5 linked regions of the Neurospora crassa OR74A genome follow. Each later gene encodes a partner of the first gene's protein in a complex. Links are inferred from orthologs where the notes say so. Each region holds a gene or a part of one and is shown in the gene's direction. Other genes may lie near its edges.

Region 1 (4,341 bases):
GGCCTGGAAGACATGGTGCGTGACACCAGGCGGACGGATGGGGGTGTGCAGTGAGACGAGACGCTGCAATCAAGCGTGCGCCTAACAGACAATATGTGGCGAGGTATAAGACGAGAGTGTAATTGTGACAATGGTGGGGCTGACCTGTGCCAGCGGTACAGACCGACGTCAGTCAATGTCGGAATTGAGCCTGAAATGTGTGTCGATGTTCAATATTGTAGGTTGAAGATTGTAATGCGATACCGATGCGGGTAGACGCGTAGATAGAGTCAAAGTTTTAAGAGGCCCCGCACCTCCTCCAGACGGGAATGAGATCAGACTAGGGCTTGCCGCACAAAGATACAACAAGCTGATGTATTTTTCTGTTCCTTGTCTAAATGGACAGTCGAACTAATAGTTCTGAATGCATTCCGGAACGCCAGGTTTACAATCGTCGAAGATGTCCTAGGGAGAAGAGAGAGGGGAAAAAAAAAAAGAGGAAAGTGTCTGCCATTTGGGTGGGGAAATTGGTTTAAATATTTCTGGGGAACTACTATGAATGAGCCCAAGGTAGCAGAGTTGCAGATTTGCAGCTCTTCCACTCCCAGGTCACAAAACTTCTCCTGTACACTCAAGGAAGGCGCTACGGACCCTTGTCATTCTGTCCCTTCAATGGCCAGTCATAGTATGTAGGTATGACTGGCCGAACGTCACATTTATCTTATTGATATCTTCAAGTTGTATTACTATTTCCTTCAGCTCTTTCATTCTCGCTCCAATCAAACATCCACTGCATTGGTACCCTATGTCCCTCTACACTTAGCCTGGGTTGAGGAGGATGACAGCATGCCTCACATATAGTCTCCTGACCCAAGAATCCCCTGAGGGCCGCTTCTAGCTTCAGGTCCCAGTGAGTAGCGTACCTACCTACACTACTTACTTGCGTCCATGTTTATTTTGCATGTTTGCATCTTCTTCCCTTTTGCATCCGAGTCACGAACCCCTGCCAACACTGTTGCCTTTTCAAAGAACTTCCATCTGTATATAAACAGGTCGTCCGACTTGCTTAGTTCTCTTTCCAAATTGACTGCTGGACAAAGAGGCTTTGTGTTGTGATGATCAGCTCAATCAATCGAATTCCGATGTGGGTCTAAAATCCGGGGCCTTGTGGGACCCCCAGGGCCGCGCCCGGGAAGGTTCAGTCCCACCCGCCGGCACAAGTCCGAGGACTGTCTTCAGTTCCTTCAAGTCTCCGCCCTTCTCTGTCACCGTTTGGATCCTCAGCCACAGTGGCGTGTAAGTCGACGTATTGTTACGTAAACTCGGTAACAAACCACTCGCTGGAGGCCCCGGCCTGTCTACCCATGCACGCAATTGGAGAAGTCGCTGCAAAGTTCCATCACAGCGCGCGGCGACGCGCACTGCAGCTTTGAACTTCCGTCGTCGTACTTCTCGCTCTTTTTCAAGCACATTCCATCATTCACTGCCAAACCATCCCTGCATCCACCTGCAAACTAATCCATCACCACCCACCCACCGTGATACCCAAATCCAAGCGACCTTTCTTGGAAAATTCTGTAACGTCAATCGGCATATTCAATATTAATATCTTGCAAATCAGTGGGCAATATGGCTGCTGTAAGCTCCCCACCTACCCCCCAACATCACAATACCTTGACGGAACACCAGCTGACCTCTTGTGCCCATGCCATAGCAGGTCGTTACCGTCGGAGAGAGTAAGGACCTCCGGGGTCTCAACCTCATCGCAGCGCACTCGCACATCCGCGGGTTGGGCGTCGATGCCGATACACTCGAGCCCAGGGTTGCCTCCCAAGGCCTTGTCGGCCAGGAGAAGGCGCGTAAGGCGGCTGCTGTCGTTCTTGAGATGATTAAGCAAGGGAAAATTGCCGGCCGTGCTGTGCTGATCGCCGGTCCGCCCAGGTTAGCTCGTCTTGCTGTGCCAGTCCTCATGCGCATACCGTTTCGTGTACTGACCTAGCTATGGAAAAACAACAGTACGGGAAAGACTGCTCTGGCCATGGGTATGGCCCAGTCCCTCGGCACCGACGTCCCTTTCACCACCCTTGCCGCTTCCGAAATCTACTCTCTAGAGATGTCCAAGACCGAGGCCCTCACCCAAGCATTCCGCAAGTCGATTGGTGTCAGGATCAAGGAAGAGAGTGAGATCATGGAGGGTGAGGTGGTGGAGATTCAGATCGACCGGAGCGTTACCGGCCACGCCAAGCAGGGCAAGCTTACGATCAAGACGACCGACATGGAAGCTATTTACGACATGGGCAGCAAGATGATCGATGCTATGACCAAGGAGCGCGTCATGGCCGGCGACATTATCTCGATAGACAAGTCATCTGGAAAGATTACCAAGCTGGGCCGATCGTACGCAAGGTCGCGCGACTACGATGCCATGGGCGTCGACACCAAGTTCCTGCAATGCCCCGATGGCGAGCTACAGAAGCGCAAGGAGGTCGTCCACACAGTAACGCTGCACGAGATCGACGTCATCAACTCGAGGACCCAAGGCTTCCTCGCCCTCTTCTCGGGCGACACGGGCGAGATCCGCAGCGAGATCCGCGACCAGATCAACACCAAGGTGGCCGAGTGGAAGGAAGAAGGCAAGGCCGAGATTGTGCCCGGTGTTCTGTTCATCGACGAGGTGCACATGCTCGACATCGAGTGCTTCTCGTACATCAACCGCGCACTCGAGTCCGACCTGGCCCCCATCGTCATCATGGCCAGCAACCGGGGCCACTCCAAGATCCGCGGCACCGACTACAAGAGCCCCCACGGCCTGCCGCTCGACTTCCTCGACCGCATTTCCATCATCAACACGCACTCGTACACGCCCGACGAGCTCAGACAGATTCTCACGATTCGCGCTCAGGAGGAGGAAGTCGACCTTACCCCCGACGCGCTCGCCCTGCTCACCAAGATCGGCGCCGAGGCCGGCCTCCGGTATGCGAGCAACCTCATCACGACGTCGCAGCTAATCTGCGCCAAGAGGAAGGCCAAGCAGGTCGGCGTTGAGGACGTCCAGCGCAGCTTCAAGCTGTTCTACGATCCTGCCAGGAGCGTCAAGTTCGTGCAGGAATCGGAGAAGAGGCTCATCGGCAGTGATGGCGTGGTCGATTTCCGTGTCAATGGCGGTGCTACGGGAGAGCCAGCGGCTACTGCGGCTGGTGGTGATAGCATGGATACCAGCAGCTAAACAGTCATGGGACAATGCGCTACAAGGATTAATGAATAATCTTGGGGTTATGATTTTGTTTCGTCTAGGCGTTTAATTGGGATGGCTCATCAAAAAGGCGTCTTTGTTATGATAACACTGTTTTCTTAAGCTTTATGTGTGCCTAGTCGTGGTTTTTTGTCATGTTACTGATTATGGTGATGGCATGGAGTCTGCAAATATCCGTTTGTATCATACAACGAATCGAATCAAAGTCGAAGCGTGGGGTAGCAGGAAAGGGCATAGTAGGGACGAATGACGACCAGCTGCTGAGGAGTTCCCAGCATGGTGATAAGGCTTTTGATTCTCTCGTCGCTTGGAACCGGGGGTATACTATCACACACAATCGTACAAAACCTAACCATGATGATCATACGAAGGCTGCAACCCTAGACCACTCCCCCTCCCCTCCGCCCACCGGCCTGAACTCAACCGCCTCCTTGAAGTATCCCGCATCCTGCCATGCCTTCATGGTGGGCCCGTCATACGGCCCTTGGCTTCCTCCTCCGTCTCTCCCATCTGTCCACCTAAACTCCCACATTTTGGGTTGTCCGTTTAGTGACGATGGCTGCTCTTCCTCCTTTTCAGGAACAGTAGGCTCCACCCAGGTCTCGCCCGTCTCTGCTCTATACTCTCTCACCAACCACTCCCTCTCCTTATCGTAAATATCCGGATAATCCCTTCCCAACAACTTATCCGCCGCCTCAGTAATGGCATCAATCGCCTCCCTGATCTTTTTCTGCTTCGGATCCTCCACTTCCTCCTTCTTGTCATCCACGTCCATCGAATCGATGCCCTGTTTCCTTTCCTGCCTCTTTTGCTTCCACTTGGGCACCTTCTTGGGCCCCTTGGTTTGATCTTTTCCAAGTCTTGCCAGCGCCTCCAGCGCCGTCTCCCCTTTTTCGAGCGTCAGGATCAAGTTTCTAAGCAAGTCCCCAGTGGCGATCTTGTCATCTTCCCTCTCCTGCGCGCGCCTTTCCGCCTCGCGCTTCTCGTGCGCCAACGCCGCTTTTTTGATTTCCTTTTTGGACAAGCCTTCCAGCCACTTATCGTGCACGGCATTTTGGTCGGCCGCTTTGCGGATGTAGTTGCCCGCCTCGTCAAAGGCACCCTCTTCA
Region 2 (4,114 bases), on another chromosome or scaffold:
CCGGTGTGAGGATACGGAAAGAATTGGTGGTTGTCAGGAGCAAAAAAAAGTGTTGAAACGACACCTCGGTCGGACGTTGAGATCATCAAGTTGCCTAACAGCCCCACTGTTTCTTGGCGTGCATTTCAGGGTCCAGGCGGTTGCGGGAGCTGTGACGCTACCCCGGATTGTTACAGTGTACTTGCAAATTGAAAGATAAATTGCCGGCCATTGAGGTTCTTTTTTGCAGTTTCATCATCCCATATCTCCAACTTCTTTATGTTGACTTTGACATAAGCTGTCCTACTAGAAAATCGTACAATAACGCACAACGTCCGCAAAATATCATGCCGCCGCCTGTACACCCTGTGATGCTCCCGGGCCGGCCGCCTTCTTCAAAGCCTCCAACCTCGCCAGCTCCTCCTGCTTCATCCTCTCCTGGATCCTGACTCTCTCCGGGACAATCTGTTCTCTTGGCCTGGTAATCTTCCAGCCTTCCAGGCGGTCTTTTCCAAGAGCCCGCAACGTCACCTGCTCGACGAGTGAATAGTTGCCGTCCTCCCTATCAAAGTTGAACGGCTGCTTCAGCGCTACTGGCGGGTTGGTAATGATGCGGACGTTCCTCTTCGCGTTGCTGGAGGCCGAGTGCAGCATCAGCGGATGAAGTAAGTACACGTCTCCGACCTTGCCTGTTGCCTCGACAAACTGGGTGCAACCCTTGGCCGTGTTGTTGAACCAGTTGAGATGCTGCTCTTGCTTGAACTCGGCATCGCTGCGGGGTGCCATACGTGGCGAGACACCCTCGGGATGCTCGTACAGGTGTTTGGCGAGGATAGGGATTGCCTCCGGACAGATCATGGTCCCGCCGCCCTCGGGCATGATATCGGTGAAGAGAGGAATGACGAGCAGGCCCTGCTCCGGGCTGTCAAGGTAGTGGACGAAGAAGTCACCATCGACGTGCCAATTGTCCAGCTTTTGCGGGGGGACTGGTTTCCCTTCTTTCTGTGGTGTGCCCAGGTTGACGATAAGGGAGTCCTTCCACTTCTTCGACCAGTTCGCGATCTTATCCTCGCCGCCGCAAAGCTCGCTGATGGCTGCCCAGGCACGAGGGGCAAAGTCTGCAGCGTCGAACTCCATATGTGAGGGCATGTTGACACGTTCTTTGTTCCAGGTGGACTTGTCGTTTGGATCCATTCCTAGTCTCGTCCAAACATTGGCGATGATTTCCTGTGCTCTCTGCTGCGTGAAGGCAGCCGGGATCCTGGCATGGTCAGTACCTCGAACGAGGTTGAACAGCTGGTATGGTGGCATGACACCTACTTGACCCAGCCATGAGTGAGGAAGTGTTCCTTCTCTTCAAGACTCAGAGCAGATGACGACGACATGTTCAGTGTGATGTTGCCTTTGGGACACATCCTGTAGAAAGTAGCGTAAAGAACAAGGCTATAGACTGGAACGGGGCCGACAAGCTATCTCTACCCTTATATACTCTTTTCAAGATCCCGCCAGAAACTAACCCAGGCTAATCAATCCGACTGTCACGACAACTCCGGACTCCGAATGGAATGCCGCCTCACACTGCGCCACGAGGCAGCTAGGTAATCCATCCTTGCTCCGTAGGCGCCCTAGGCTACGTGTAACCGGCGGGGTGGTTTTTGGTTTAACCAGAAATACCCTATTGGATATCGCCAGGTTTATTGGAGAGTACGGCATCACCAGTTTTCCATTTTCGTGATAGCGGCCTTTCTGAACCTGAACATCATGTCCCAGTGGTGTGGTTGACAACATCCCGTCGTCAGGGGCAGATCCAGCTTGTCATCGGATGATAGTAACGGAACTCTAAAAAGGTTCCCGGTTGCGGGGCGTTTTCAGCGGGACATCAAGGAAGGTGTGGGCGTGATGCGGGGGAGCTTGAGCCGAACAGCGGCGACATGACGGCAAGCTGCCCTATTGGCTGCTAACAGAGCGTTTGTGTTTCCACTGTCACGCTGCAGTCGATCGGACAAAGACATGGATCCCGTCCTTGTTCCCTTCATCACTTTTCCACTTTAATATTCCGGCCCACGATACTTGGAAGAGGTACCATTCTTGGAACGACGACACACACGGCAACGAGAATTTTACGCGAATAGCTTGAGGAAGACCAGACTGTTATATTCGCGAGATACCAAGATGGCGCCAACACTAGAGCTTCTTGCAGAAGACTACGCGTCAGAGGAAGACTCCGACTTCGCCCCAGAAACTGCCGAAGCCGCGGGAGAATCATCAATATCCGACGATGACGACGAAGAAGCCGGTGAAGATGCCGAGAAAGCGAAACCCGAGAAGAGGAAACGCGCTGCCATCGAGGAGGCGGAAGACGCTGGTTATGACAATTCTGGAGATGAAGCTATAATAAAGAAGGGGGAGAAACGTCAAAAGAAAACAAAGACAAAACTTGCTGCCGACGATGAGGAAACTGGCGAGGGCGGTCTCATCAAGACGCGCAGCCAACGCGCTGTTGAGTATGTTCTCACATCAACCCTCTTCTCTTTGGGTCCTGGGCATTAACGACAATGGCAGAAAGGAGAAACGTTCAACAGCCGCCGCCAGCGGACCTGTTACAATCGACGTCGATGCCCTTTGGGCGCAAATGATCAGCGAGCCGGTCATACCACGAACAAGTACAGCGAAACCAGACGAAAGCGCCGATCCAGCGAACTGTGACATCGCGAAATCGTCATCCCAGCAGCCAGAAACAGCCAAGGCGAAAGATCCCGATTCCGACCTCATAAAGATCAAGAGAACCTACAACTTCGCCGGCAAAGTCCACACTGAAGAAAAGCTCGTTGCCCGCGATTCTGCCGAAGCAAAACTCTATCTCGCCTCTCTCGGAGAGAACGCTCCAGCGGACGGCGAAACAGCCGCCGAGGACGAGTCCTCCTCTGCCAAGCGCATGCCCCGAAAAGCTTTCCGGTCCGTCTTCGAGCCCATCACCGACGCCAACTCGGCGCATCGTTCCGACCTCAACCTGAGCATGGCCTCCCGCCTGCAGGCTCGCGAAGCCACGGGCAACAAGGCCAAGAAGCTCAACACGGTCGAGAAGAGCAAGATGGACTGGGCGGTGGCGGTCGACAAGATGGGCCTCAAAGACGAGCTCGAGCTGGCCGGCAAGTCCAAGGACTCGTTTGCGGCGAGGCAGGATTTCTTGGCCAGGAGCGAGATGCGCAGGGAGGAGGAGGCGAGGAGGGCGAGGATGGCGCAGGCGGGGAAGACGTGAGCGTGTCACGATCTCCAGTCAATCCATTGGTCGCTTGCCTATTATTGTTGTATGGATGGCGTCTCCCTTACCACTACAAGTTTGGAAGGACAGCACTATGCAACACCATTTCATTTCTTACGTTCGCCAAATAGAGATACCCCAGTTTTCAATATCGGAACTTTCCAACGCGTTGAAGACACCAAGCAAAACACGACTTGCATGAACTCAGGGTCACAGTCACATATCAATTCCTTGCAATTCCTGGTCACATTGCAAAGGAACATGCATTTCTCATCCAGAAATCATTTGGCAAGTTGTACCCATGCACCACGCTGTCTGACTCATGATCCCAACTTCTCAATGCAGTTATCATCAACCAATCATCAACTGGCGTGGTGGCGGAGTGGTCTAACGCGCAAGACTAGAAATCTTGTTCCTTCGGGAGCGTCTGTTCGAATCAGGCCCACGTCGAAGTGATTTTTTTTTCCAATTTCTTTTTTTTTTTTTGGACGATTTTATTGTTGAATGGCTCCATAACACCAGTCTGGGGTACCTAGCCACTGGCAGTGGATGCCGACGACAACGCTTTTTGGTCCTTTGTTCACAATGATTTCCCAATGTATCTTGGGAGCTTATTCGATTATTTGGGGGGTTGGTTTCCGCTGATTCAGTACTAGATCAACGACCTCTCCTCCAAGTTGAGAATGTCTAGAAACTCAACAACGGAAGATTATCTACGTCTGACTTCCTGTCTTCAACAGGTAGTTCAACCATCCAAGGTTGTTGGGTACCTCTACCTATGTACACACGCCTTAAAAGCCCTTTTGAGATCTGAAAATAACCTTGAAGGTAGACTTGCTTGAGAGGTTCTACCTTACCCCCCTTCTTACCGAC
Region 3 (4,422 bases), on another chromosome or scaffold:
GTTTCGGCAGCGGTTTGCACACGAGCCTTTCTGATCATCTGCACAACATCCTTGGTCTTGCGCTCCCGAGCACCCTCGGGAGGGAGTGCAGTGTAGGGGTCGGGGTTGGACCACTTGGGGGTGTTGTTGGCGCTGGTCGACTGATCAAGCGCAGTGCGAGCACGCTTGGTCGACGGCTCGGCATCTTCAGCAGCCTCATCTCCAGAGATGTCCATCTCGGCCTCATCACTGTCGGACAGTTCGTCGACATTCCGGTAGAGCACGCCCGTCTCGGGATTGTAGAGGGCCTCTTCATTTCCAGACTCATGGGTACCGCTCAATAGCTCGCGCTCAGCCGCAACAAAAGGACGCCACGGTTTCCTAAAACCTCCGTGGGGGCCAGCGTTGCGGCCTCGTCCACGGCCACTGGGTCTTCCGTGGCGACGATCGCCTCTGGGAGAGTGGGCTCTGCGGCCATTGTAGGACTGCCTGTTGTCGTTGGGACGGTAGTTGTCGTAGCTCGAATTGCTGACTCCCGGCGGCTTCTCTACTCTAAACGAGAAATCACCCTGAGGAGGCCGGTAATTGTCGCGATCTCTTCCACCGCCACCGCCACCGTTGTTGCGGTTGGAGTAGTTGTCGGAGGGACGGTACGATGTCGGCTGGGGAGGTCGGGCAGGGAGACCATGAGGGCCATTCGGCGCGCGTTGTTGATAGCCATTGCGGTCGTCCCGAGGGTCGTTACCACGACGTCGACCGCCGCCGCCGCCACCGCCGTTCTGGTATCGTTGTGACATGCTAAAACTAGCAGTTATGGGTTTATGCGATACTGACCACGATAAAGCGCATCGAGTGAGTGCTCGGTATCGGAGCACAAGAGGATGAGGTTGATTCCACAAGGGGGGCAAAATACGCTGAGAGGTGGAAATGTTCACCTTGTCATTTAATTTTTTTTTAAAAGTCAGAGGTAAAAGTTGAGTGGGGCAACATTGATGGGATTTGTAGTGGTCGGGTTGCAGAGTTCAGTTGCCGTGACGGGAGCGGGAGTGTGCTCTCAACAGTGGAAGTGAAGTGATGGATGACGGAAGGCAGGGCTGCCCGGTCCCAGTCGAGATTTCCACAAGGCCCTAGGCTGCGCTGTGTGTGTGTGTCTCCGGTGTGTTGTGCCCGCTGCCGCAGTGGCAGGCGCCGGCAGGTTCCGTTCTCACTCTCCGGCGCTGTCAGGTCAGCGAGTCTTTAGTGTACACTTGCGGCGGCGGAAATGATGAAATGCCAAGCAAGAGAACCCCAGCCCGTCGAGGTCCGGGTGGCACTGACAACCCTTATCGTTCCCCTTATCAGCAGGTCCCGTCGTCGATGCAAGTGGAAACCCAAACAATTGACGGTTCTTGCGACAACAACCGCGACGCGACTCTCCCACGCACTTCAAGCTACGAGGGCCGGGGCGCGAGAGGGATTCAATTGTCAGCAGCTGTTGTTTCAGTACTGTCATGACCGGACGAGGAGGGGCTAAAAAGTCCCGGGCGGCAGGGCCGGCACCCCCCACGACAACCCTGGTTCTCGACAACGGCGCCGACACCATCAAGGCTGGATTCGTCTCCGATGACAAGAGCGACGGCAAGCCTCGCATCATTCCGAATTGCCTCGCTCGAGACCGTCACAGGAAGATCTATGTCGGCTCGGAACTCGAAAAATGCAAGGACTTCAGCGAATTGGCCTTCAGGCGCCCCGTCGAAAAGGGCTTTATCGTCAACTGGGAGGCCCAGAAAGAGATCTGGGATCGCGAGTTCTTCGACGATAAAGCTGCGCAGAAATGCGACCCATCAGACACCAGGCTCATTCTCACAGAGCAACCAAATTCATTGCCTTCTCTCCAAACACACTGTGACCAGATCGTCTTTGAGGAGTATGGCTTTGCGAGTTACTACCGTGGCCTGGGTATGTCGCCTCCTAGAGAGCTGTTAGGGAAAGGGTGCTGACCTTGTTTTCTAGGTCCTGTCTTCAACGCGTACCGGGACATACAATCCATCTTCCGAACACCCCAATCCACCATAGACAGTCCAGCCCAAGTCATCCTGCTCATCGACTCGGGTTACTCTCACACCACCGTTACGCCTATCCTCCAAGGCCGACCGCTACATCCGGCCATACGAAGACTTGATGTGGGTGGCAAGCTCATGACCAATTATCTCACCAGGTTACTGTCCGTCCGCCACTTCGACATGCGCAACGAACCATACATTGTGAACGAGATGAAAGAAGCAGTCTGTTACACCTCCCTGGACTTCAAGGGAGACCTGGAAAAGACTTGGAAAGGGACGCGCGGCGAAAAGAGGGAGGACTACTTGAGCGGTGCTGGCATCGCCAAAGACTACGTTCTGCCCGACTCCCACACGCGCTTCCACGGTGTTGTCCGCGACTACGAGCCTGGTGTCTCGGCGCGCGCCCGCAAGGGCATTGTATCCACAGAGGACGTCCTGACGCTACGGAACGAGCGTTTTGTTGTTCCAGAGCTCCTCTTCAACCCTTCTGATATCGGCATCCGGCAACCTGGCATCGCCGACCTAGTCAAGCAGTCCCTCTTGGCTGTGCCAATTGGACTGTGGCCTGGCCTTCTGGCTAATATCGTAGTTGTGGGAGGAAACAGTCTCTCTGAAGGGTTCTGTCAGCGCTTGCAAACAGAGATTCTCAAGCGATTCCCCGATGAATGCAGGGTCAGAGTTGCCCGCCCGGAAGACCCTATCATCAGCACCTGGTTGGGAGCTGCCAATTTCGCCAAGCATGAACATGCCAGTAAGCTCGAGGTCACCAAGCAAGAGTATGAGGAACATGGAGCTGCTTGGGTGGCAAGAAAATTTGCTGCTGGGCTCGGACTCGACCCCTGAGCATTTGCTTGGAGTCTATTATTGCCATTTTTGAAGCTTTCCAGGGTTCATTAGCCCATAAAGCGATTGCCAAGCGGCTCCCTATGCTGCTTGATTGAGTGCCCGGCTGGATACTACCCAGACAAAAATGAGCAGGGTGGGCTAGTACGCTTTGCTTCTTGCCTGTCTCTGGACGTTGAGTGCCATACACTCTGTCTGAAAAGCGCCGTTCAATCCGAAACCCTGCCGTGCCATGCCAGAACACCAAGACTCTGTCTCGATGGGCTGGGTGTATAGACTGGGTGTTGATCTTGATTGAGATGCACTGGGGCAAAACCGCGCAACTGATCTCAGCTACCTACAGCTCTACACGGAAAAGCAGGTATCAGAGTTTCTGAGGGCGAGCTACTTGCCACCCTTGTGATACCCATGATGCTGCCTTTGGTAAAGTTTTCAAAATGGTTTGAAAAAAGGATCAACGCTAACCCTCGGAAAGAGACCAAATCACACCATCGTCCTCATCAGTGGTTTGTTGTGATCGCCTGCAGCTTCTTTATTTTAAACAAACTTGGCTCAGACGAAGAATTTGGCCCATTTCACCTCCAAAGGTGCAAATAACCCAATATATATGAAGCTCTACTCTATCAATCGGATCTTGCCCAAGCCTAGCTTTTCAGCCTCTGCATTCAGAGCATCAATCTCTGCCTTGGCATATGGTATGCCATCTTTCAATCTCTGCTCCTCGTTCAGCTGCTCAATCTCGCCCGGGAAGTAAATTCTGTCGACGCCATGCATCTTCTCCGAGTTCACCGCTTTCTGGTATAGGATATCCATGCGTTCCCTGAACTCGTCCAGGCTCATGAACAAGTCAGGCTTGATGGCCACGAAGAAGTGGCCAACGTCCCCCGGCTTGGACATATCATACGGCCCCGTGACGCCTCCAGCAAACGCAGAACCCGAAAGCACGCCGGAGAAGACATCCATCATGATCGCCAGCGCCGACCCCTTTGGCCCACCCATAGGCAGCATCACGCCTTCCAGCGCCTTGGCCGGATCATCAGTTTGCTTGCCCTCCCCATCCAAAGCCCAGTCAGTCGGTATCTTCTCTCCCCTCCTCAGCGCCTTATAGATCTTGCCCCTCGCTGCGACCGACGGGGCCATGTCCAAGATGAACGGCTTCGACCCCTCGCCCTTCCCACCCGGCGCTCCACAGGCGATGGGGCTTACACCCATCATCTTCTCCTTGGAACCCCACACGGGCAGCGCAGGCGACGAATTGGTAAAAACCAGACTCATCATGTCCGCATCCACCGCTTGCTTCACAATCCAAGCGGACATGCCAAAATGATTGCTATGCTTGACGCTTACCATTCCAATGCCATAGACGCCCGCCATTTTGATGGCGGTGTCCATGCCCAGGTGCGCGGCGGGGAAGCCGAATCCGTTCCTCGCGTCTATTTGGGCGACTACGGGCGTGATCTGCTTTAGTTCCGGCTCGGCGGCTGGGTCCAAAACCCCGCTACGCACGCGTGAGAGGTAGGATGGCAATCGCAGGATGCCGTGGCTTTCAACGCCGCGC
Region 4 (4,411 bases), on another chromosome or scaffold:
GCCAACCACTACAGTAAGCAACACCCTACTCTATTGAAGCTGTTCTTGAATGAAGCTTGCTAACCATACGATTCTACTAGTCGTTCCTGAGATGAAGCTTTCCCCCAACGTTGGTTCCGACCGCAGCTGGGTGTGGAACGCCGCTGCCGATGTTTCCGAGGGTGAGCCCGAGGCCGTCACCCTCGCGATCCGCTTTGCCAACTCCGACAACGCCAACGCTTTCAAGGATGCCTTTATCAAGGCCCAGAAGGACAACGAGGCTCTCTTCAAGGCTGCCGAGGAGGCCGCCGAGAAGAAGGAGGCTGAGGAGGATTCCGAGGACGAGAAGGCCGAGTAGATGTGTGGTCTAGTTTTGCATGAATTTGAAGTTGCTTTAGGGAAAGTTTTTCAACCACCCCGTTCTATTTTCCGTTTTGCTAGGTGTTAGAGGGGACGATGACATTACTACCTCCATGGGCTGGGCGATGGAATGAATGAAAGGACCGCTACAGAAGTTATGACGATGATGATTCCTAGGCTAGAGAGCTGGTACATGGGCAGCGTGTGCGAGAACAAAAGGTTGAAGTATCCGACATGAAAGCACTATTCAGGTGTGCGTTTGACGAGATTTCAATATACTGGTAACATACTGCGACGGCCCTTTTGCAACTATGGCTGGCAAGGAGGATGAGGATGGGGATTACTCTTAAGGGATCTAAATAACCTTTAGCTTAACCAACAGTTTTAGATAGAACAACTCACTACCCTTCACACCGATGCATTGCCTTTGGGGGTTTTTGATCAAGTTCTTGTACACACAACCTCGCCTCGTCATACCTGGCTGACGGCTTAGCACGATGGTCCACCAAAACATGAGACGAATCTGATGGACTGGCTAGCTGACGGAAACCTGAGCCTGTCTTGAAAGAAACACAAATACTGAATTCCGTTTGCCAAGTCGTCCGTGACGCGGTCTGGCGACGACCGTATAAAAAATCTGGTTGTTTTGCGGTTTTGGAGGTTTCTTCTCTTCTTGACTACCTTACGGCGAGCTGACGACGATCCTCTTCTTCGCCAGCGGTCTCTCACTACTCTTCTCCCGACGACGCAAAATCACATCTTGGAGCAATTTACTTCAAGATTTCAGGGTCTACTTCAGCATCACCGTCGTCTTTGACAACTTCTTTCCAAGACTTCTGCTTTCTCGATCATCGCGATATTTCGATTAGAGTGGTGATATCTTCGTTCACCTAGGTGAGCTCACCTTGCTTACATCCACGGTGAGGGGTAGAGGAATGCCGGCAAAGCGAGCTGACGCTCACTGCATCACAGCGCACCAGCCACAGCACGCACAGCGGTACCTCACTGAGTGCTAGCGACGGGACAATGGTCGACTTCAGCCATGGTTACGGTTTTGACTATGGCGGCGCCGCGACGCCTCCGTTCGCGAATGACGAAGGTATGTCCCGCTTGAACCAACTTCATCGGAGTGTACATATATTGCACAGTGACCCAAATTCCCAACCATCCAAGTCGCATCAGCACCATAACTCAGTAAAAACCTTCCCACATTGCCTTGCTTGAACACTCCCTTGAGCATTTTTCAACCCAAGGCCATCAGAGAGGAGACACGCTCTTAACCTTAGCCCCTCTTCACGATCACGATCGCGTTCCCATCCAACTTTTGCCTATCCCAATTTGTACGCTATACACCTTAGAGCTACGTTATCCCCATCATTATCCCTGGTTCCCAACCGCACGCCACGGCCCGCCGCGGTACCTTTACCCCTCCGTAACGGACGACCTTATTCTCTACCGCTACAAAGCCCAACTCTAGCAGCGCGACGGAATCTGCGACACACCAACACATACAACACACCAAACACTATAGAGCCCATTGCCAGACAGCCCAACGGATACAACAACGTCGTACATCCTCGAATCCTTGCTCTTCCTCAAGAGCCCGAACGCCACTGTCTTACTACTGTCCTGTACTCGAGACACCGACCGAACGCCGATTGTCAAAAGAGTGCTGTTCGAGTACTAGGACACGAGCAAGTGAAGAGAAGTACACAAAGCTAACCGCGGGAATCCATCCAATTTCTGGGAAGCAGAGGGCCTTGAGGATCGGTCGGACGTTCCCAGTAGTGCTAGTAAGAATACTCGAACCAAAGCTACTAGAAGGAATCCGAAGCGGGTTCCAGGCGCAAACAAGATGATCGTCGAGGTTAGTTTCCGGATTCCCAGTCCAGTGTGGTTGGTAGCTTGCGCAAACAGGGTGACCACTGTAGCGGCATACAGAACAGGTGCAGAGGCAGGGAAAGGAAAGGCCCTAGGAGGAGAACGTTCCGGGATAGCTGTTGTTCGGGAAATGGATTCGACGGCTAACGTGGGTTTATTTGTCTACAGCGCAAGATCAAGGTTGTCACAGAACAACACAATATCAACAAGCCGGCGGCACAGGAGGGCTACCCCATGAAGGAGTGGACGGTCGAGCTCTATATTCTCGACCAAGATGGCAAGGAGAGGCCCGCCAGGTGCTTCACGAAGGTGACCTACAACCTTCACCCTTCGTTCGCGAACCCTATCCAGAGTAAGTAGACACCGGAGCGGCCGCCGGTCACCTCTCCCCATCTCTGTTGTGTCTCGAGAGCCAGAGGTTGGCTAACGCGTCGCAAATTCAGCTTTCAACGATCCTCCCTTCAAATGCACCAACGAGGGCTGGGGTGAATTTGAGATGATCATCGATATGTACACCACCGAGAAAGGCGGCAAGATCTCGATCGCGCACGACCTGAACTTCCAGCAATCAGAGTACGAAAACATCCATACCGTCACCTTCCGTAACCCATCTCAGGCGCTCCAGCAGCTCCTGAGAGAGACGGGTCCCTTGCCCTCGGACGAGGAGCGCAAGCAGAAGAAGGCGGTGGACGGCGGTTCCAAGAAGAAGCGGCCCTACGACATCGAGCGTATGGCGGATGGCTTGACGAAGCTGGGCGAGGATGACCTCCTGCAGGTCATTCAGATGATCCACGATCACAAGGATGACAATACGTACATCCAGAACAACCTCGATGGTAAGTTTGCCCGCTAGGGAGTGTGGCCCCTGGAGGCAACACGAGCTGATGGCTGACTGGACATGTCTATAGCGGGCGAGTTCTCGGTGGATCTCTACACTCTTCCTGACAACCTCATGAAGATGCTCTGGGAGTTCTTGGTAAGTTGTTCTTCCCATTCTTTTGCCCCCTCAATCGGATCCTTCTGTAGCTAAATCGCTAATATTACCACAGGTCAAAGCCAACGTAGTCTCATAGTACGACTTCCTTGGTCCAAGTAACCTACAGTAGTCGATGGCCATCGATTTACGAAGTCATCAGGGACGGGAACATTCTTCCTTACTAGATCGCAGTGCGCACCATACCATACCCAGTACACCACCACCCTCTTTATTCACTATTATTGATCCCTTGACACTTCCATCCACATCAACATCAACCACCTTCACCATCATGCCATTGTAGCCTTAGGCTTCTTCGGCTCCTGCATTACCGTGGCGTTTATGGAGTTATGGTGGGATACGCAAAAAGCAAAAATTGAGAAAGATTCAAGAGCTTCTCTTGACAAAATTTGTGCTTGATTTGATCTTCCAGATTTCTTTCTTTGCGTGATATTCGATGGTCTAGGGTGTGTTCCGTTGAACCGTTTCCTTTCTGCCGGTGGGATCGTTGCCTTGATTGGTGGTGTCTGCTCGTGAGGACTGCTCTTCACTGGAAGGGAGTGGCATCGCTAATCAGTTTGTGCTTTGGGCGGACCTTGAACCTTATCATGTGCAAGGTTTGCCCCTCTAGGTAGGATCGTCATAGGGAAATTTGAGACTGTTTATTGGAAAGAAAGGTTCGGGAAAGGATGGGTAAGAGGTAGAAAGGAGGTATGTAATAGATCCCACGCCCATGGAATTCGGAAGGGAAAGAGAAGCGGTTATGTTGTAGGCGGTACCTAGTTCTCGATCACGGTCTCTCTACGTTGCTCGTCGTATGGCGGTATTAGAAGCAGAGAACATGCTGTATGGTTTAGTTTACACAGTTCAGGGTATGGAGCAGCAGTAACTGTCCGTTCGCCTTAGTCTCCGTGTCTCCTGTGCCTGGACTAGAGCGCTATAGATCTGCCAGCACCCTGCCAGATAGCCATCTTTTTCAGGCATGAGCTCTTGGCTTATATCCGGAGCTACTGCGGTAGGCGATATTATCGGCGGCGGTTATATAATGCAAGTTTTTGTATGCGTAGATGATGGCTAGGTACATATGTCGTCTGTAGACAGAAAATGCTTCTAGAATGTGTGTGCGGGGTGGACACTGCGTACTGCGTACATGTTGTTCGCCCGTGTTTTTTTTTTTTTTTTTTTTTTTTTTTTTTTTTTTTTTTTGTGGTGGTT
Region 5 (4,550 bases), on another chromosome or scaffold:
CCAGTTATCGTTGCGCCAGGTCTTGAACAATTCACAGAGCCTCCGCTCTGAATCATAACCCAGCAAACGAATGTCACGAGAATGCCCATAATATCGGAGGAAGAAGAGGAGGATGGCACGATGCTGTCCCACCCTTCAGAAGAAGACAACCACGATGATGGCTCGATATCCGGAGACGAGGATTCTTACGACGAGGATGACATCTCGGACGACGACGGCGACGACGAGCACCTCGCGCCCCCACCGCCCGTCTCGCAACATACCTTCGCCCCTCCCTTCTACGGTCGCCCACCGACCCCTCTCCCACCCTCCCCCTCTTTAACCTCCCTGCTGCGCCCCTCGCGTCCCACTACCCCGGACGCCTCCGACGACGAGACAGTAGCCAACGGCGGCGGTGGGGGTCCAGAGGGCAGCAACGAGCCCCTCCCGCGCGCCAGCCCCCGCGTACCCACGTACGAGTACTACGGCTTCGTCCTCTACCTCTTCAGCAGCCTGTCGTTTTTGATCTACCTACTGTGGGCCTACCTGCCTTCACCGTTCCTGCATGCGTTGGGCATCTACTACTACCCCAACCGGTGGTGGTCGCTGGCCATTCCGAGTTTCCTGACAATGACGCTGGTGTACATCTACGTGGCGCTGGCGGCTTACAATACCGAGTACCTCACACTGCCGTTGGGATCGATTGAGACGATTGTGGATGAGGCGGCGCAGGTGGCGGTGGTGGATGGGAAGGGCCAAATCATTAGGCATGATAAGAAATGTGGCATCAAGGAGGAGAAGAGACAGTATGGGCATGGCTATGGACATGGGAGGCATGGGTCGACGGATAGGGAGGTGCTCTTACCTGGGGGAGGATTGAATTGGAGGGAGGTCTGGAATGAAGGGACGGATGCGGTGATGGATGTGCCACTGGCGGGAGTTTGTGAGGTTTTGTATGGAGAGGGGAGGGAGAAAGGGGTGGAGAGTGAGGAGGATGAGGAGGACTATGAAGGAAAGGGGATGTTGCATAGTCCTGGGAATGGACTGGATGGCTCGAGAGTTGGTCGATGGAGTTAACACAGGTTATGAAGGTCCTGAGACAGGATAGACACCTGATCTCTGCTGTATTGTTGTTTTGTCCATTGTGAAATATGATACCCATTTGTTCTTTTTGGGGGTGGCATAATGCTCTGGGTGAATCCGTTGTCGGTATCGTATACAGCTGAGAGTTCTACTTCCCATGGATGTCGTAACTTTGACTTCTAGGACTTCTAGCGAGTTCGTGGGCTCTGGATCAGCAACGACAGGCCAGCGACAATCTTTGAGGAGTTTAACCAAAGCTAACTGCTCATGTGCGTCTTACTTCTCTTCAAGCTTAAAAGACCTATCAACAAGTTAACAGAGCTCTTGACAGGTTCGTTGGATTGCTATTTCCATTTTCTGTCCCTGATGCCCTATTACCGTAGAGGTACGTACCGCGCCCCACTTTTATGTAGCTGGAGGAGAGCCTGTCCGGCCTTTTACTGGTATTCACGCGCGCGCGCCCCTCGTCTTTGAAGCTCCGTTGTCAAATTCCATTTGATTTCCAGTTCATCGAACTTCAACGGAACGCGACGGGACCGAGCTATTAGACGCGCAGCGCTGTTTGGAGATCCCCGCTCACACCACTTCTTGCCCTCCGATAATACACCTCAGCGATTTTCCATTATACAGCGTCGGTGCCTAACATGTCCCACCAACAACCTCTCTCGTCGTCGGTCCAGCCGACTGACATCTATGGCGGAGGTAAGCCTAGTCCAAACGCCTCTGACCAGCGACATTGCCCAAGCTTCAAGGCTTGCAATTGACGGCTGATTATTTCCTTAGATGAGGTATCCGCGCTTGTTCTCGATCCGGGCTACTGCAACACTCGCGCCGGCTATGCTGGCGAGGAAATGCCCAAGCAAGTTCTCCCTTCTTTTTACGGCCACATCAATGGGCGTGACGTATTCGGCGACGAGTATATCGTGCCAAAACCGGGCTTCGAAGTGCGCAACTACATGAACCGCGACAGCGTTGTCGAAGATTGGGATGCTGCCACCAGGATGTGGGAACATGTTCTCGTCAAGCGTTTGCAGCCCGAGCGATCAACACCTCCCAGCAAAAAGGGTATCAACATTAGTGACGATGGCGATGTGCCCATGGAAGACGATGGAAACAACAACGAGGATGCTACGGACGCGCTGGAGAAGCCACTGGCCGAGAACCCTCTTCTTATGACCGAAGCGCCGTGGAACTCGCCCAAGGCGCGCGAGAAGGCCATCGAAATCAGCATGGAGACTTGGGGCGTGCCCGCATTCTGGCTTAGCAAGACACCTGTGCTCGCAGCATTTGCGGCCGGAAAGGCCACGGCTCTGGTAATAGACGTGGGCGGTGCCAACACGAGTGTCACGGCCATCCACGACGGCATGGTCCTCAAGCGATCGATTCAAAGGTCTCCGGTGGGCGGTGTTTGGCTGAGCAGCCAGATCTGCAAGATGTGGGACGGTAGTGAGCCCAAGGTCGACGTTGTGCCGCGGTTCATGGTCGAGAGTAAGAAGCCCGTGGAGGCCGGTGCGCCTGCCGAAGCCAACCTGCGAAAGTTTAACTTCGACATCCACCCGTCCTTCCGCGCTTACGAGGAAGAGCGTGTTCTCACCGAGTTCAAGGAGTCTGTTGTCGAGGTGTGGCGTGGTCCCCAGCGGTTCACGACCCCCGGAAACGAAGATGCTGTCCGTACACAACCCGGCCGGGTCTTCGAGATGCCCGACGGCAGCAATCAGATGTGGCGTGAGCAGCGCTTCAAGGTGTCGGAGGGCATGTGGGACGAGACGGCTGCCTATAACAGCACTGACGAGGAAGGACGTGTTACTAAGGCTCAGACGATCCCGGCTCTCATCAAGGCGGCCCTCGAGGGTGTTGATGTTGATCTCCGCCCCAACATCCTCGGCAACGTTGTTGTCACGGGTAGTACAAGCTTGTTGAACGGTTTCAACGACCGTCTCAACCACGAGCTCGCGCAAATGTACCCCGGTGTGAAGATCAAGATCCATGCGGCGGGTTTGACGACCGAGAGACGCTTCGGTGCTTGGATCGGAGGAAGCATTCTCGCCAGTCTCGGAACCTTCCACCAAATGTGGATTTCGCGAAAGGAATATGATGAGAACGGCGCGGGCATTGTCGAGAAGCGCTGCAAGTAGGATTTCACTTTGTCAATTGCAGAAAAAGAAAGTTGTCGAGGCATGAAGTGGAAAACCCTCCCACGCCGCGCTATGGAAATGGCGGGAGGCTACAAAACATCGGATTCCAAGTCAGGCCACAATGGTTGATGCCTAAAGTGCTCACACATTCATGGAGTTTGTGTGGGGTGGAGTGTGGTGGTCATATAAGATGGGCATGATATTTTCTACGTCGCTAATTATCAGGCAGGTGTATGTTATGGTCGCACGATATGGCGCGGAGGCGTTCCGGAGAAATGGATTTTCAATGCTTTCAGCTTATGAAAGATACACGCCAACCATTGCCTGTATTGCCAGTTTTGACTTTAATCACGGCTAGATCCCAGAGCTTCAACTGTCTCCAAGTAGTTCATTCACCGTAAAGCTTCTACGTACAAAGTGTAATTTCTTCTAGACAATCCATAATCCTCTCATCAGTCCTACCTGTCAATGGGGCAGCTATACTCTCTCTTCGTTCCAAAACTAGCTCCTTTGGAAACCGCGCCCCCATGTTTCATCTCAAGAGCGTCCAGGCATGCTTGATGGTAGATGTGTCTGCAGGCCAGCACAACCAGAGGGCTAAGCTTCTGTTCCCGGTTTGCCACTATTGGCCCTTGCACGCCTTCATGTCCAGAAGTGTTTGCTTGCTGGTTCGGGTCGTTCATTGACTCCCCTTGCTGCTTCAATTGCGGGCTCACAGCCTTTCCCTTGCCCTTCCCCTTTCCATCTCCATTTGCATTTCCATTATACTTCTCCCCACCCTGGGGCCCGTCCGTTGCCGGCCACGCATGATCCTTGCCCTTCCCCCGTTCAGTAGTAGCACTCGCCGCCTTGTTTTTGCTCATGGTGAGTTGCTTCCTCGCCTGGCGTTGACTCTCCTCAGCAGCCTGGCGATCTTCCCACGCTTCGTAGACATTACCCGCCACACCAGGACCCCAAACTCGCCGGCCGCAGGCCTCGCAGGTGGAGCCTTTAGGACGCCAACCTCGCTGGCGGAGTTGGACGGCTTGGCTTACACTCACAAAAAGACTGCGTTCCAAAAGCCGGTTTGAGAGGCTAAGGATGGATTCTTCGTATGCGTATGCGGCGAAGATACTGGAGAGAACTGAACGGAGATCTGCAAGGTTAGGCGACGACGCCGCGGCGCGAGTGAGGAACGCACGAAGAATACGGAGGAAGGATAGATTGGCGTTTATTGCTGGAGGTTGTATATCACCCGTGTCTGCTGCAGATCGAGAGGTACGGGTTGATGTGGATGAGAGGAGGGCTGTAAAGGTGTCTTGCACGAGCGATCGTGCCAAGGTGACAAGCTTTTCTGTCTCTAATGACATATGG

The links.
Region 2: NCU06854 (region 1) and NCU06491 share a complex: the UniProt entries of both Saccharomyces cerevisiae proteins name them as parts of the SWR1 chromatin remodeling complex. The link is inferred for Neurospora crassa OR74A from reciprocal best matches to the Saccharomyces cerevisiae genes RVB2 and SWC5.
Region 3: NCU06854 (region 1) and NCU05587 share a complex: the UniProt entries of both Saccharomyces cerevisiae proteins name them as parts of the SWR1 chromatin remodeling complex. The link is inferred for Neurospora crassa OR74A from reciprocal best matches to the Saccharomyces cerevisiae genes RVB2 and ARP6.
Region 4: NCU06854 (region 1) and NCU00444 share a complex: the UniProt entries of both Saccharomyces cerevisiae proteins name them as parts of the chromatin-remodeling INO80 complex. The link is inferred for Neurospora crassa OR74A from reciprocal best matches to the Saccharomyces cerevisiae genes RVB2 and TAF14.
Region 5: NCU06854 (region 1) and arp-4 share a complex: the UniProt entries of both Saccharomyces cerevisiae proteins name them as parts of the SWR1 chromatin remodeling complex. The link is inferred for Neurospora crassa OR74A from reciprocal best matches to the Saccharomyces cerevisiae genes RVB2 and ARP4.

Annotation. Positions count from the first base shown.
Region 1 is NC_026502.1:1,745,853-1,750,193, reverse strand, and holds NCU06854 (RuvB-like helicase 2), read left to right. Parts: upstream 1-1,379; 5' UTR 1,380-1,608; coding exon 1,609-1,617; intron 1,618-1,693; coding exon 1,694-1,920; intron 1,921-1,995; coding exon 1,996-3,205; 3' UTR 3,206-3,593; downstream 3,594-4,341. Other genes in the region: NCU06853 (hypothetical protein), read right to left, coding at 1-14; NCU06855 (hypothetical protein), read right to left, coding at 3,594-4,341. UniProt on the Saccharomyces cerevisiae protein: DNA helicase which participates in several chromatin remodeling complexes, including the SWR1 and the INO80 complexes.
Region 2 is NC_026503.1:1,607,837-1,611,950, forward strand, and holds NCU06491 (SWR1-complex protein 5), read left to right. Parts: upstream 1-1,731; 5' UTR 1,732-2,151; coding exon 2,152-2,483; intron 2,484-2,541; coding exon 2,542-3,238; 3' UTR 3,239-3,599; downstream 3,600-4,114. Other genes in the region: NCU06490 (hypothetical protein), read right to left, coding at 325-1,240, 1,300-1,394. UniProt on the Saccharomyces cerevisiae protein: Component of the SWR1 complex which mediates the ATP-dependent exchange of histone H2A for the H2A variant HZT1 leading to transcriptional regulation of selected genes by chromatin remodeling. Involved in chromosome stability.
Region 3 is NC_026506.1:1,416,554-1,420,975, forward strand, and holds the start of NCU05587 (actin-like protein arp-6), read left to right. Parts: upstream 1-1,370; 5' UTR 1,371-1,469; coding exon 1,470-1,917; intron 1,918-1,971; coding exon 1,972-2,864; 3' UTR 2,865-3,287; exon of another isoform or gene 3,288-3,339; 3' UTR 3,340-3,479; coding exon of another isoform or gene 3,480-4,422. Other genes in the region: NCU05588 (topoisomerase TRF4), read right to left, coding at 1-776; NCU05586 (malate/L-lactate dehydrogenase), read right to left, coding at 3,480-4,422. UniProt on the Saccharomyces cerevisiae protein: Component of the SWR1 complex which mediates the ATP-dependent exchange of histone H2A for the H2A variant HZT1 leading to transcriptional regulation of selected genes by chromatin remodeling. Involved in chromosome stability.
Region 4 is NC_026503.1:3,880,227-3,884,637, forward strand, and holds NCU00444 (transcription initiation factor TFIID subunit 14), read left to right. Parts: upstream 1-1,363; 5' UTR 1,364-2,194; coding exon 2,195-2,206; intron 2,207-2,388; coding exon 2,389-2,572; intron 2,573-2,663; coding exon 2,664-3,056; intron 3,057-3,128; coding exon 3,129-3,196; intron 3,197-3,269; coding exon 3,270-3,293; 3' UTR 3,294-4,313; downstream 4,314-4,411. Other genes in the region: NCU00443 (ran-specific GTPase-activating protein 1), read left to right, coding at 1-13, 81-337. UniProt on the Saccharomyces cerevisiae protein: Functions as a component of the DNA-binding general transcription factor complex TFIID, the RNA polymerase II associated general transcription factor complex TFIIF, and the chromatin-remodeling complex SWI/SNF.
Region 5 is NC_026501.1:2,713,319-2,717,868, reverse strand, and holds the start of arp-4 (actin), read left to right. Parts: upstream 1-1,537; 5' UTR 1,538-1,706; coding exon 1,707-1,764; intron 1,765-1,845; coding exon 1,846-3,197; 3' UTR 3,198-3,655; coding exon of another isoform or gene 3,656-4,550. Other genes in the region: NCU16367 (hypothetical protein), read left to right, coding at 82-1,056; NCU02554 (golgi complex component), read right to left, coding at 3,656-4,550. UniProt on the Saccharomyces cerevisiae protein: Chromatin interaction component of the NuA4 histone acetyltransferase complex which is involved in transcriptional activation of selected genes principally by acetylation of nucleosomal histone H4 and H2A. The NuA4 complex is also involved in DNA repair.